3 linked regions of the Ovis aries genome follow. The protein of the gene in region 3 interacts with the protein of the main gene of each other region in a pairwise test. Links are inferred from orthologs where the notes say so. Each region holds a gene or a part of one and is shown on either strand. Other genes may lie near its edges.

What was found. The genes of interacting proteins can lie anywhere in the genome.
Region 1: the proteins of TCL1A (region 3) and U6 snRNA-associated Sm-like protein LSm3 interact in binary tests that used the Homo sapiens proteins (3 or more experiments, as listed by UniProt). The two-hybrid records come from large-scale screens. The link is inferred for Ovis aries from reciprocal best matches to the Homo sapiens genes TCL1A and LSM3.
Region 2: the proteins of TCL1A (region 3) and TTC33 interact in binary tests that used the Homo sapiens proteins (3 or more experiments, as listed by UniProt). The two-hybrid records come from large-scale screens. The link is inferred for Ovis aries from reciprocal best matches to the Homo sapiens genes TCL1A and TTC33.

The regions. Positions count from the first base shown.
Region 1 is NC_056080.1:116,710,581-116,713,185, reverse strand, and holds U6 snRNA-associated Sm-like protein LSm3, read right to left. Parts: upstream 1,230-2,605; 5' UTR 1,217-1,229; coding exon 908-1,216; 3' UTR 605-907; downstream 1-604. UniProt on the Homo sapiens protein: Plays a role in pre-mRNA splicing as component of the U4/U6-U5 tri-snRNP complex that is involved in spliceosome assembly, and as component of the precatalytic spliceosome (spliceosome B complex).
Region 2 is NC_056069.1:33,889,505-33,893,835, reverse strand, and holds the start of TTC33 (tetratricopeptide repeat protein 33), read right to left. Parts: upstream 2,905-4,331; 5' UTR 2,742-2,904; intron 2,729-2,741; exon of another isoform or gene 2,546-2,728; intron 1-2,545.
Region 3 is NC_056071.1:58,269,256-58,273,418, forward strand, and holds the start of TCL1A (T-cell leukemia/lymphoma protein 1A), read right to left. Parts: upstream 2,871-4,163; 5' UTR 2,786-2,870; coding exon 2,666-2,785; intron 1-2,665. UniProt on the Homo sapiens protein: Enhances the phosphorylation and activation of AKT1, AKT2 and AKT3. Promotes nuclear translocation of AKT1. Enhances cell proliferation, stabilizes mitochondrial membrane potential and promotes cell survival.

The sequences.
Region 1 (2,605 bases), on a different chromosome or scaffold from region 3:
CTCCCAAGACTTTCATTGGTATGGGAGCTAAAAGGGAACTAATATTTTCTATATCTACTATGTACAAGGTCTTTTTTATATACCATAACTCATTTAATCCTCACAACTATCCTGGGAGGTAGGTGGTGTTATCTACATTTTATAAACAAGAAAATCAAGGCTCATAAAATTAACTTCCACGAAGTCTCACATGTAGGAAGTGGTAGAGTCGAGATTCCATCTCCATTCCCATTCTTTTCAGAACACACACCTGCCTCTTCAAGAAGAGAGCTGTGGGACTTCTTGGGTGGTCCAGTGGCTAAGACACATGGCTCCCAATGCAGGGGGTTGGGGTTCAATCCCCATTCAGGGAATTAGATCCTACATGTCACAACTAAAAGAACCCACATGTCGCAACAAAATTGAAGATCCTGTGTGCCATAGCTAAGACCCAGGGCAAACAAACAAATAAATAAATATTAAGGAAAGAAGAGAGCTATATAGCTGATTCACTTTGTTGTACAGCAGAAACTAACACAACATTGTAAAGCAACTGTACTTCTCCCCACCAAAAAAAAAAAAAAAAAGAATTCAAAAGAAAGGAAGAGCTGAAAACATATGAATATTTTTTTAAGTTTTGTTTTTATTTTTTATTTTTTTTTATTTTTTTTATTTTTTATTTTTTTATTTATTTTTTTTTTTCTGTATCGCGCCGATCACATTTATTGGAAGGGTTGGAGAAAAATAAAAATGCCGTTTAGCTGAAGTATTTGTGAGTTATCTACAAATCAACTTATTTCAGGAGTGGAAGAATTCTTGCTTATTTTCAGCATCAAGATGCACATCGGTCTCTCTTTGGAACATCTTCCACACTCAAAGAGGCCACCGCACAGCACAGCCCGTCTCCCACAGGCGGCGGATTCTCGTTTCAGCCAACTCTCAATGGCGGGGCAACCAGCACAACGCCGTCTCCCCGCACAAAGAGCATCGGAATATTCCGTTTTGTTGATTTATATATTTCTTCATATGTTTCTTCATCAATTTCTATAGTTGTCACAGTTTCTTCCACATCTCCCAATATCATATTTAAATGTTGATCATAAGCGTGTAACCGGCCTCGAAGTTCTCTGTCGTTTCTCATCTTCACGTAGATGCGCTCGTCCAGGCTGAGCCGGATGAGATCCAAGGGCTCTTCCACAGTGTTGGTGGTTTGTTGCTGGTCCACGTCGTCCGCCATCTTTCAAACCCTCTTAAGTTTTGTTTTTAATGTGGACCGTTTTTAAAGTCTTTATTTGTTAAAATATTGCTTCTGTTTTATGTTTTTTTGGCTACAAGGCATGTGGGATCTTAGCTCCCTGACCAGGGATCTAACCCATATTCCCTGCAATGGAAGGTGAAGTCTTTCTTAACCACTGGACCACCAGGGAAGTCCCCACAAAACGCATTTTAATTGAGTGAAGAAAATAAAACATTTCATGTTTACAAAGACAAAAGACATAGCAAAGAACTTGTGGAAAAGCTGAAACCAAGAAAAATGAGATTTTTGGAAGTTGGAAGACAGACCTTGACCAAATGAGATCATCTTTAGGAAAGAAGTAAAGCCTGGATCCCAAATTCTCTACTGCGTTACCCAGTATTTTCTCACGTGATGATGTAGCAACCACTTGGTAATCATGGAGGAAAAGAATGACATCTGGAGCCAGGCCGACAAACCAGAGCCAGCCACGTAAGATGGTGCCGAATGAAAATACTAGCTTCCCCAAGACACTCAGAGATCTTTCCCCAGCTTTTGGATGGCAGAAGGCAACGACAGGGCTTGCAGCCAGTGCCCCAGCATCTTCCTCCTCACCCCTTTTGACTTTATTATTCCTGATAACCTGGTCATGCATATACAGCTACCAAACATTAAGTTTTCTTGAAGTCTCACAGCTTTGGGTTTTCTTACCAAGTCATGTGACTCAGATCTAGGCCTAGGAAGTAAACACTGTTTCCTGAATCTCAAATACCCACTCTACTTATGTTATTCTACACCTCCAAGAAGCTCTTGTCAAAACAAGATTAAACACGGCAAGATTTTATTAGGAGAAATGACTGTATGAAAGTAATTAACCTCCAATTAAAATAAATAAATTTATATTTAAAAAAAAAGAAAATAGAGAAGGAGCTGTGAGTGAAGCCTGACTGGTAAGGAGGGAAAGAAGAGAAAAGGATGTATGGAAGCAGTTGAGACTACCAGGCAGTCTAAGGAAACTTCTGCAAGACCTTGAGCCAAAGTTGTCCAACAAAGGAGTCCACATGTCTGCCTTAGTATCCCTGCTGTACTAAGTCATGGGTGCTTCCCTGGTGGCTCAGATGGTAAAGAACCTGCCCACCAATGCAGGAAACCCGGGTTCAGTCCCTGGGTGGGGAAGATCCCCTGGAGAAAGGAATGGCTATCCACTTCAGTATTCTTGCCTGGAGAATCCCATAGACAGAGGAGCCTGGCGGGCTACATGCAGCTGCAAAGAGTTGGACACGACTGAGCTACTGAGCACATTCATTACTGTGATTACTAAGGACTATCTCTCTTGCTAAATTTTAAACTCCACAGAAGCAGAGACCATGTCTGTCTTGTTCACCACTTTAT
Region 2 (4,331 bases), on a different chromosome or scaffold from region 3:
AAAGACAAGTTCACAATATGTATCTCCTGATGGAAGTGACACAGCAGCCATGAAGTATTCCTGCCAAAATTAACACTACATCACCTTATATCTCTACTGGTTTATAAGAAATAAGGGATACAGAGGAGTATGTTAAATAACATGCCTGAGACAAGACAACAAGGAACAGAAACTAAGGAAAAATAAAACTGGTTTCTTCAAGAAAAAAGGAAAAGTTAGGAGGTACCCCCTAGATTAAGAGAGACTTAAGAAACAAAACCAAACACAATGTGTGGATCTTGTTTAGTTACAGAATCAAACAAGCCAATGGGGAGGAAAAATTTAAGAAATAATATGGGGGATCAGAACAATGCCTTCATATTTGATGATATTAAGAAATTCCTGCTTCTTCAGGTATAAGAGTATTATGTTGACAAAAAGTATGCTCATCTTTTGGGAATACATATTAATACATTTTACATGAAATTACACAGTATCTAGGAATTGTTTCAAAGTAATGATGAATATGATATAAGATACACATATTAAAAGATTGCTGAGTTGATAAGTGATCAAGTTAGGTGACGAGTATATGGAATCTTTGTACTTCTCTCTTAGCATATATGTTTGAAATTTTCCATCATAAAAAGTTTCTGAAAGATTCAAAACTGGTAAATGATTTAATTCACAGAACTATATGGTTAATCAGAATGATAACAAATGTTAAACTGCTTTGTAAAACTGCAATAATAATACAAAATATAAGGGCTGAGTGAGCAAGCATAATTGATGGAACAAAGTTAAAGAAAACCCTAGAAGAATTCAACAAGTATTTATTTCGAGAAGGGATTTACTGAGGGATCAAGAACTCTTGCTAGTTACATGGATAGGTTTATAGATACTGAGAAACCTTTGGAATTGTAAATGAATTTTTATATGTTTGTACCCTGCACAAGAGTCTCTATGCTTTCATTCCATTCTTAAAGGAGCCTACAACCCCAAAGAGAGTATCAACTGACTGATCAACTATTGGGATAAGGAAAAGCAATGGACCAGAGGTCTACACACGACTATCAAAGAATGGGCATCGTGGGAGTAATAATGGAAAGTAATGAAATAGTAAGTTCCAGCAGCTACCAAGCTCGTCATCACCAATGCACACTGAAATAAAGTAGAAGTAACCGCTAGGATGAAAGAGACCAAAAGAAAGTGTGGGTGGCTATGAGGTCACTAACATGGAAAGGCCCAAGGCAATGGCAGATTTTGGAGAGGTAAGAAAATCGTGGATCATGTGCCTAAGTTCTTAATGAAGTGTCAATAAACTACAGCAATCAAGAAATGTACTGCGTGGGACTTCCCTGGGGGTCCAGTGATTGGGACTGCATGCTTCCACTGCAGGGGGCATGGGATCTATCCCTAGTTGGGGAACTAGGACCTCACCTGCAGAGAAGGGAGGCCAAAAAAACACAACCCCAAAGCAAACCAAAAAAGAATGGATAGGCTGACAGGGGTAAACCACACGCTTTCCATAGGAGCAGAGATTTTTAGAAAAGCCTGCAGGAGTAATGGATTATAAACTATACTAGGGAATGAGGACAAAGCCAAATCCTCTTCCCAGACCCATGGTAATAGGGGAGAATGAGTTTCCTATGTTTGAAGATTACTGCAAGTAACATAGGGAAAGAACAACAACAACAAAAAGCCTGAAATATAAGTGTGTTTACTATGGAACCTAAGTCCAGAAGTACAGAAAGAGAATATAAGAATGGATCGTTAGAAAGCTCTCACAAGATATTAGAATAAGTCATGTTAAGAAGCCTTGCATTTACCACTGTCCCTAAAGGTGACAAGAATGAGGATGATTAAGTTTTCTGGCTTCAAGTTTCCAAATAGGCAATGTGAGAGACGAAACAGTGTGTGTTAGCCATTCAGTCGTGTGCGACTCTTTGCGACCCCATAGACTGCAGCCCGCCAGGCTCCTCTGTCCATCGGGATTCTCTAGGCAAAATACTGGAGTGGGTTGCCATTCCCTTCTCCAGGGGATCTTCCTGACCCTGGGATCGAACCCTGGTCTCCTGCATTGCAGACGGATTCTTTACCACTGAGCCACCAGGGAAACCAACATAGTGTGGGAACAAGAATAACACAGACAATTTACCCTGCCACAAGCTAGAGAATGCTTCTCTTCACTGCGTCGGAAAGTGAAGCAACGAAGGCGAGGAAACTGAAGAACACAAATAAGGAAGCAAAACAGCATCCTTCTGCGTATATGGATGTATTCGGAGGTGAGGGATTCCGCAAGAAACGATTTACCCGAAACACGTTCCCGCAAGAAAGAAACCAGTTCTAGCGACTTCCCCTCATTTTGAACACACAAACACGTACACAAAAAAACTGCGAAGTTCACAAGGGCTGCCCAGGACGTCACCCGCGAGCTCAGAGTCCCGCCCCAGACACGGGCCCCATCCCCGGGGTGCAAAGTCAGCTACCTTCCGCTCCTCCCGCCAGGGGCGCGAGCACCAGGTAAGGGCCTGAACCCCAAAACTGCTGGTCCCTAAAGACCAACCTTAGCGTCCTGGCTCTGCTACACCCGCGGTGGGCCTCAACTCCGACTTCTGAAGCTTCTTACTCCAGTCACCCCAAGACCCACCCGCCTCGTTTTCCCCCAACTTCCGCCGACTTCCACCACTGACCCGTAGCCTGTGTTACCCGAAGGCCACTCCCCGGGTCCCCTGTTTACATTCCGCTTGCCCTTTACCCACCGGAAACGGAAACTATCGTGCCCACCTCCTTCCCGCTTGCCGTAGATGCCGGGTCTTCCAAGATAGGAGGTTGGTCGACCTAGGGCGTCCGAACCTTCCGGAGCAGCGAGCTGGGAAGAGGCGACTCAGTGCCTTTCATCCGCAATCCTTTCCCTGGGACTACAAGTCCCAGAAGTCACGGCGGCCGCCCCCACCCCATTATTACCCTCCGAGGCTGGTAGTCCGGGCCGCTCGGACTGGGCGCGCCCTCTAGCGGCAGACGAGAGCATCGGAGCGCTGGTGCCCACAGCTCGGGAGCGACGGAAACTGCGTCTGCGCGGGCTGAGTGCGCGTGGAGAGGACTTCGCTGGTGGTATCGCGAGGCCAATCCAGTCAGCAGGTAGAGGGCGGAAAACGACTTTGGGGGAAATCGAGAGCATTGATATGCGGCCCTCCCTGAAGGAATTTACAACCTAGTTGAGATCAGCCAAGTGCTGAGGACAGAGGCAAACCCAACTATAAAAGTATATGAGGGTGGGGAGAGGACCAGGGAGGGCCGTAGCTCAACCGGGGGGGAGGGGTCGGCGGGGGAGGGCGGCCGAGGGGGCCAAAAAGTTGGATGCAGCGTCTCTAAAGAAGAAAGAACTATGACCCGAAAGTAGCTGTTTTGAAAAATAAAGTGGGAAAGTGTAACACAGGGAAGTGTGTAGGAAATTGAAAAATTGAGATTGTTCTCAGTGTTGTGGTTTCAGTTTTGTAAACCAAGTTTTCTCAACCTCAAGGGTGTAACGTTTCCAACTGGATTATTTGAGACCGCGGGAGCGTGGGGGTGGGGGGTGACTCTCCTGGGCGCAGCAGGGTGTTCAGCAGTATCCCTGGGCACTAGATGCCATTCGGAGAAGGCAGTGGCACCCCACTCCAGTACTCTTGCCTGGAAAATCTCATGGACGGAGGAGCCTGGGAGGCTGCAGTCCATGGGGTCGCTAAGAGTCAGGCAGGACTGAGCGACTTCACTTTCACTTTTCACTTTCATGCATTGAAGGAAATGGCAACCCACTCCAGTGTTCTTGCCTGGAGAATCCCAGGGACGGCGGAGCCTGGTGAGCTGCCGTCTCTGGGGTCGCACAGAGTCGGACACGATTGAAGCGACTTAGCAGCAGCAGCAAGATGCCATTAGCATCCACTACCACCCCACCAGTGGTGACAACCAAAAATGTCTCCAGAAGTTGCCCAAAGTCCCTGGAAGAAAGATGGATCCCCCTCTCCCCTCCTCAGCCTCATTGAGAACCACTGATGGGAAACAATGATTCTCCAAAGATGAGCCTCAGACCCCTGAGAGTCCTCAAGATCCTTTCAGAGTCAGAAGTATTTGGGGGACTTCTCTGTGGGTTAGAATACGCCTTGAAATGCAGGGGACACAGGTTCCATACCTGATTGGGAAGCTAAAAATCCGTCATGGCACAGAGCAACTAAACCCGCATACCACAGAGTCTGTGCACTGCAACCACTGAAGGCTGCCTACTCTGGAGTGCTAGCGTAACAATGACAGATACCGCATGAGGAAATGAAGATCTTCCCTGCTGCAACAGAGACCCAATGCAGCCAAATAAG
Region 3 (4,163 bases):
GGGGCTCGGGCTGGGCCGGGATGAGCAGCACTTGAATGGGTCTAGATACCCAGACGAGACCTCAGAAGGTCCACCTCGTGACCAGTGCCTAGTTGCTAGGGAATGCCACGGGGCCCTGGGGCTTCTGTAATCATGGCGTCTGGGGTCCGTTTCAGCTGATGTGGGATTTTCTTTGATTATTCATTATCATGCATCCCCTTTGAAACAAGATCTGCCCAGACCCTGGAATCAGGTAACAGCATCTCCACCGCAGTCCTTGTTTCACTGCCTCTCACTAGACTACAGAGACAACTGCCCAGCCTACCGCCTAGTTGGTCCTGTGACCCACAGCCAAGTCTCAGCCCCGGAGCCAGGGTGCCTGTCTAAAAATCTTGTCTCTTCCCTGCTGGATGCCCTTCGACAGCTTCCAATCGCAGGCAGGTGAACTGGACTCTTCACCGTGGCCCACAGGGCTGCTGAGCCAGGTCCCTGCCTCTCTCACCTCCTCTTTCACCTCTCACCACCTACTGTTCCATCCTGGTTCCTCCATCCACTCCAGCCACACTGACCTCCTCACCATCTCTGGACACACACACTCCAAGTAGAAATCACTCCTACGTGCTGTCCTCTGCCTGGAACATTCTCCCCTAAACCCATGCAGGACTCACATCCTTTTTAAAGGCAGATCTTGGTTCGAATGAATGTTTATCTATAAAAACAAATGCCAGAAGAATCCAACTCTATGATATCCATAAGGGGCGTGCCCAAACCGATGTACAAAAAGGTTTCAGAGAAAATGATGGGCAATTTTCAGGTACATGCAAAAGAAGATTCTGGAGACGACCTGCATGAAGACCCCAGGCCACTGGTTCCTGCCTGCTATCCCACTGGAGTTATCCTACACAACTTCCCACCTGCCTCACCTACTGTGCTGTCCCTCTCCCTGAGTAGAAATATCAGCTTCACAAGCAGTGGGATTTAATCCCACCCACTGCAAATCCCCACAACCTAGAATTTTTGGCATATCAACAGGACACTTTGTTCAATGATTATTTTTCCAAAGTGGAAACGGCTTTTCAAGTTTTATCTATGAAGTAAGTTAGAATTCATCATTAAAAAACAATTCAGGATATCTTGCAAAGTGCAAGGGTGGAAATCACCCTTCTTGCCATGTTAGGATATGGCTTTCCATATCCTTGAACCATTTGAAATTTGCTTATTCACCTTTTTGTTGCTGACTTACATAAATCTTTTCAGATGAAGAATACTAGTTCTTTGAAATTATGTGGAGAAAATTCTATCCCATGGTTTGCTAAATGGCTTTGTCCAGAATTTATAATGATTATGTGACAAACTCTGCTTCGCAGTTTCAGCATCATGTTTAAGAAGATATGCCCCAACCAAAGATTAAAAAAAGATATTCACTTACATTTTCCTCAAATGCTTGGCTTAACGTGAATATTTAACTCAATTTTTAAAAGTATATATATTTCAAAATCTTAAAGGACAATAAAGATGCAAATTTTAGATGGTGGTTATATTTTAGATGATGCTGCACTGGAATCCCAACCCCATTAGCCTACAAACAGTACTACTTTGAACAAATGTCCATTTTTATGCCTCTATTTCCTCACCTATAAAATGGGAAAACAAGCATTCTCAGTAACTTTTTGCAATTTTACTATTCCATAAATGTTCTAATGACAATTATACTTTTATATATTCTTTCTTCGGTTTATATATGGAAAGTTTCAACTGTTTTCACCTAAGTTTCTTTGAGGAAACCCATGCTCTGATGGAAAGTGCTTGTAAGAGAGCTGTACTTCTTAAAAAAAAAAAGAAGTTAGTATTAACTAAAGATCCATCTTAAGGTCTTAAGGCATCACACATAAAACAAAGTCAGTGTCTGTTCCGTACTGCTTTATGCCATGTGAAATTTCTTTCTTTCAAAGACTTGAGGAGGTAGGAAATACCCCAAATTCTACTGCAGTGGTTCCCAAACTTGGCTGATCTTAATTTGTGGAGGGTCCTTTCAAAATACAGATTTCTGGGTTTCACCTATGGAGATTCTGATAATCTGCCAAGGGCGGTAATCACTTTCTCATGTTAGTTGTTCAGTCATGTCCAACTCTTCCTAACCCACGGACTGTAGACTGCCAGGCTCCTCTGGTCATGGGATTTCCCAGGCAAGAATACTGGAGTGGGTTGCCATTTCCTTCTCCAGGGGATCTTCCCAACCCAGTAATCCAACTTGGGTAGCCCACATTGCAGGCAGATTCTTTACCGCCTGAGCCACCAGGGAAACCCAAATCACTTCGGACAAAAGATTATTCCCATTTTATGGATTAGGTCCTTGAGATCCAGAGAAATCCTATTTTACTCGAGATCATATTCATACACTCCAGACATACTGGGTCCCCATCCTTTGGCTCTGTGTTTCTCCTACCCTCCTCTCCTGGCCTGGAGAACCTCTCATCCTTGAGCCCAGCTCAGAGTGGTTTCATCTGTGTGTCCTGGCCGCCCTGAGTGGACCTGCCCTTCTGAGTCTCCCCGCCGCTGCCCTCGCCCTGTGGCATCTGAGGGTGTCCTCTAGGGCCTGCACGACCTGGGGCGTCCGGGTCCAGACCCCGGGCCATGGGTGGGCCATCCATGCTGCCCTGCACGCCTGGCCCCACAGCGGCTGTACCTTGAGGGTTATGGGCAGCCAGGTGCGCCGGTTCTCGTCCACATACACAGCCTTTTCCCACATCCTCAGGTGGTCCGGATGAATGGGTGTGTCCGCCATAAAGAACGGGCCCTCGGCCATGGTGCCTCGAGGGGTCTGGAAGCAAGTGCAGGAGCCGCTCGAGGCTTCTCGCTGGTCCACGGGCTGCAGAACCTCGATGCTTTATAGTCGGAGGGCGCGTGGGCGCCCCCAAGAGGTGGGATTGGAGGAGGGGGAAGTGAGAGGAGGGCGGAAGGGGGCTGGGCTGGGAGAGGGGATGGTGGGGCGGGGCTGGGCTGGGAGAGGGGCGGGACGGAGCGGGCCGGGCGGGGCGGGCACAACAGGATCCGCGGGCCCTGCACCCAGACCTGCCTAGTGTTCTGAGACCCTGGCGGCCTCTAGCTCAACATGCAGTCCCACAGACTCAGGGCTTCCTCTAGACCCCAACCTGAGCCAGCCATGTGCTCCCCACTGCCGGGGAGGCACTCAGGTCTGTGGCCTTGGCCTTTTCTTCTGTGAGCAGGCACCAGCGCCCTCCGCCCCCCTGGATGCCGGGACTCCACTGTGTGGGGCTCCTTGGAGCCACCCTGCAGACTGGGACTCTGAGCCTCTGCTTGGAACTCACAGCCGACGTTGGGCAACCCGGAGCCAGGGCCCCCTCTGCATCTGGGATCAGAAGAAATGGGTGCAAGCCTGAACGAGGCCTGGACTTTTCCCAGGTTCACGGCACCACTTTTACCCTGTGGATTTGGGTGTCAGGGTCAATTTCCTTGGTAAATTGCAACTCTTGAAGCCCCTGTGCCCTTCCCCCCCACATTTTCCACTCTTTGATGATGCTGTGGTCATCTAATAGCTGTTGTGAAACCCGGTTGTGAAGAAACATGGGTTTTTCCCTTTATAGGCTTTGTATTCATTAGTGAAAACATCGTTCGAAATAAAGGCTTAAAAAGAAACCCCTCCCTCCATCCCAATATCAATGGATTTGAGGAGTCCCTGTGTTATAGGATCACACTGTCTCCCAGTAAATTGCATCAACTGAGGAAAACAATTTCACTTTATTTTGCAGTACCACATGCCCATTAAAGCAATTAGGAAAATAAAATACAATGAAAAACATGTAAAAGGGGCTCCAACCTCGTTGCTCAAACATCACCCGTGGTTTCTTGCCTCACCTTCCAGCTCTTTCTCATCTCTCTGACTAGTCGCTGAGAAAATTGTCTGTGATCTTTTGAAAATGTCTCAGAAGTGAAAATGACCTTGACACCTGAGCCCGCTGACAGCAAAGGTATGAATCTGCATCTCTGCCTATCCAGATAGCTTAATTCCTCAGAAGGTGCTGAGGTGGCCTAAAGAAACAGAGATACATCAGGATTTACCACGAACACAAAACAGAAGACAGACACCAAGTAAAGTTGAAAGTGGAGGGAGGTGACTTTAGTCCAGGAAACCTCTTTCCCACTGCAGTCCCTAGTGGTGCTGC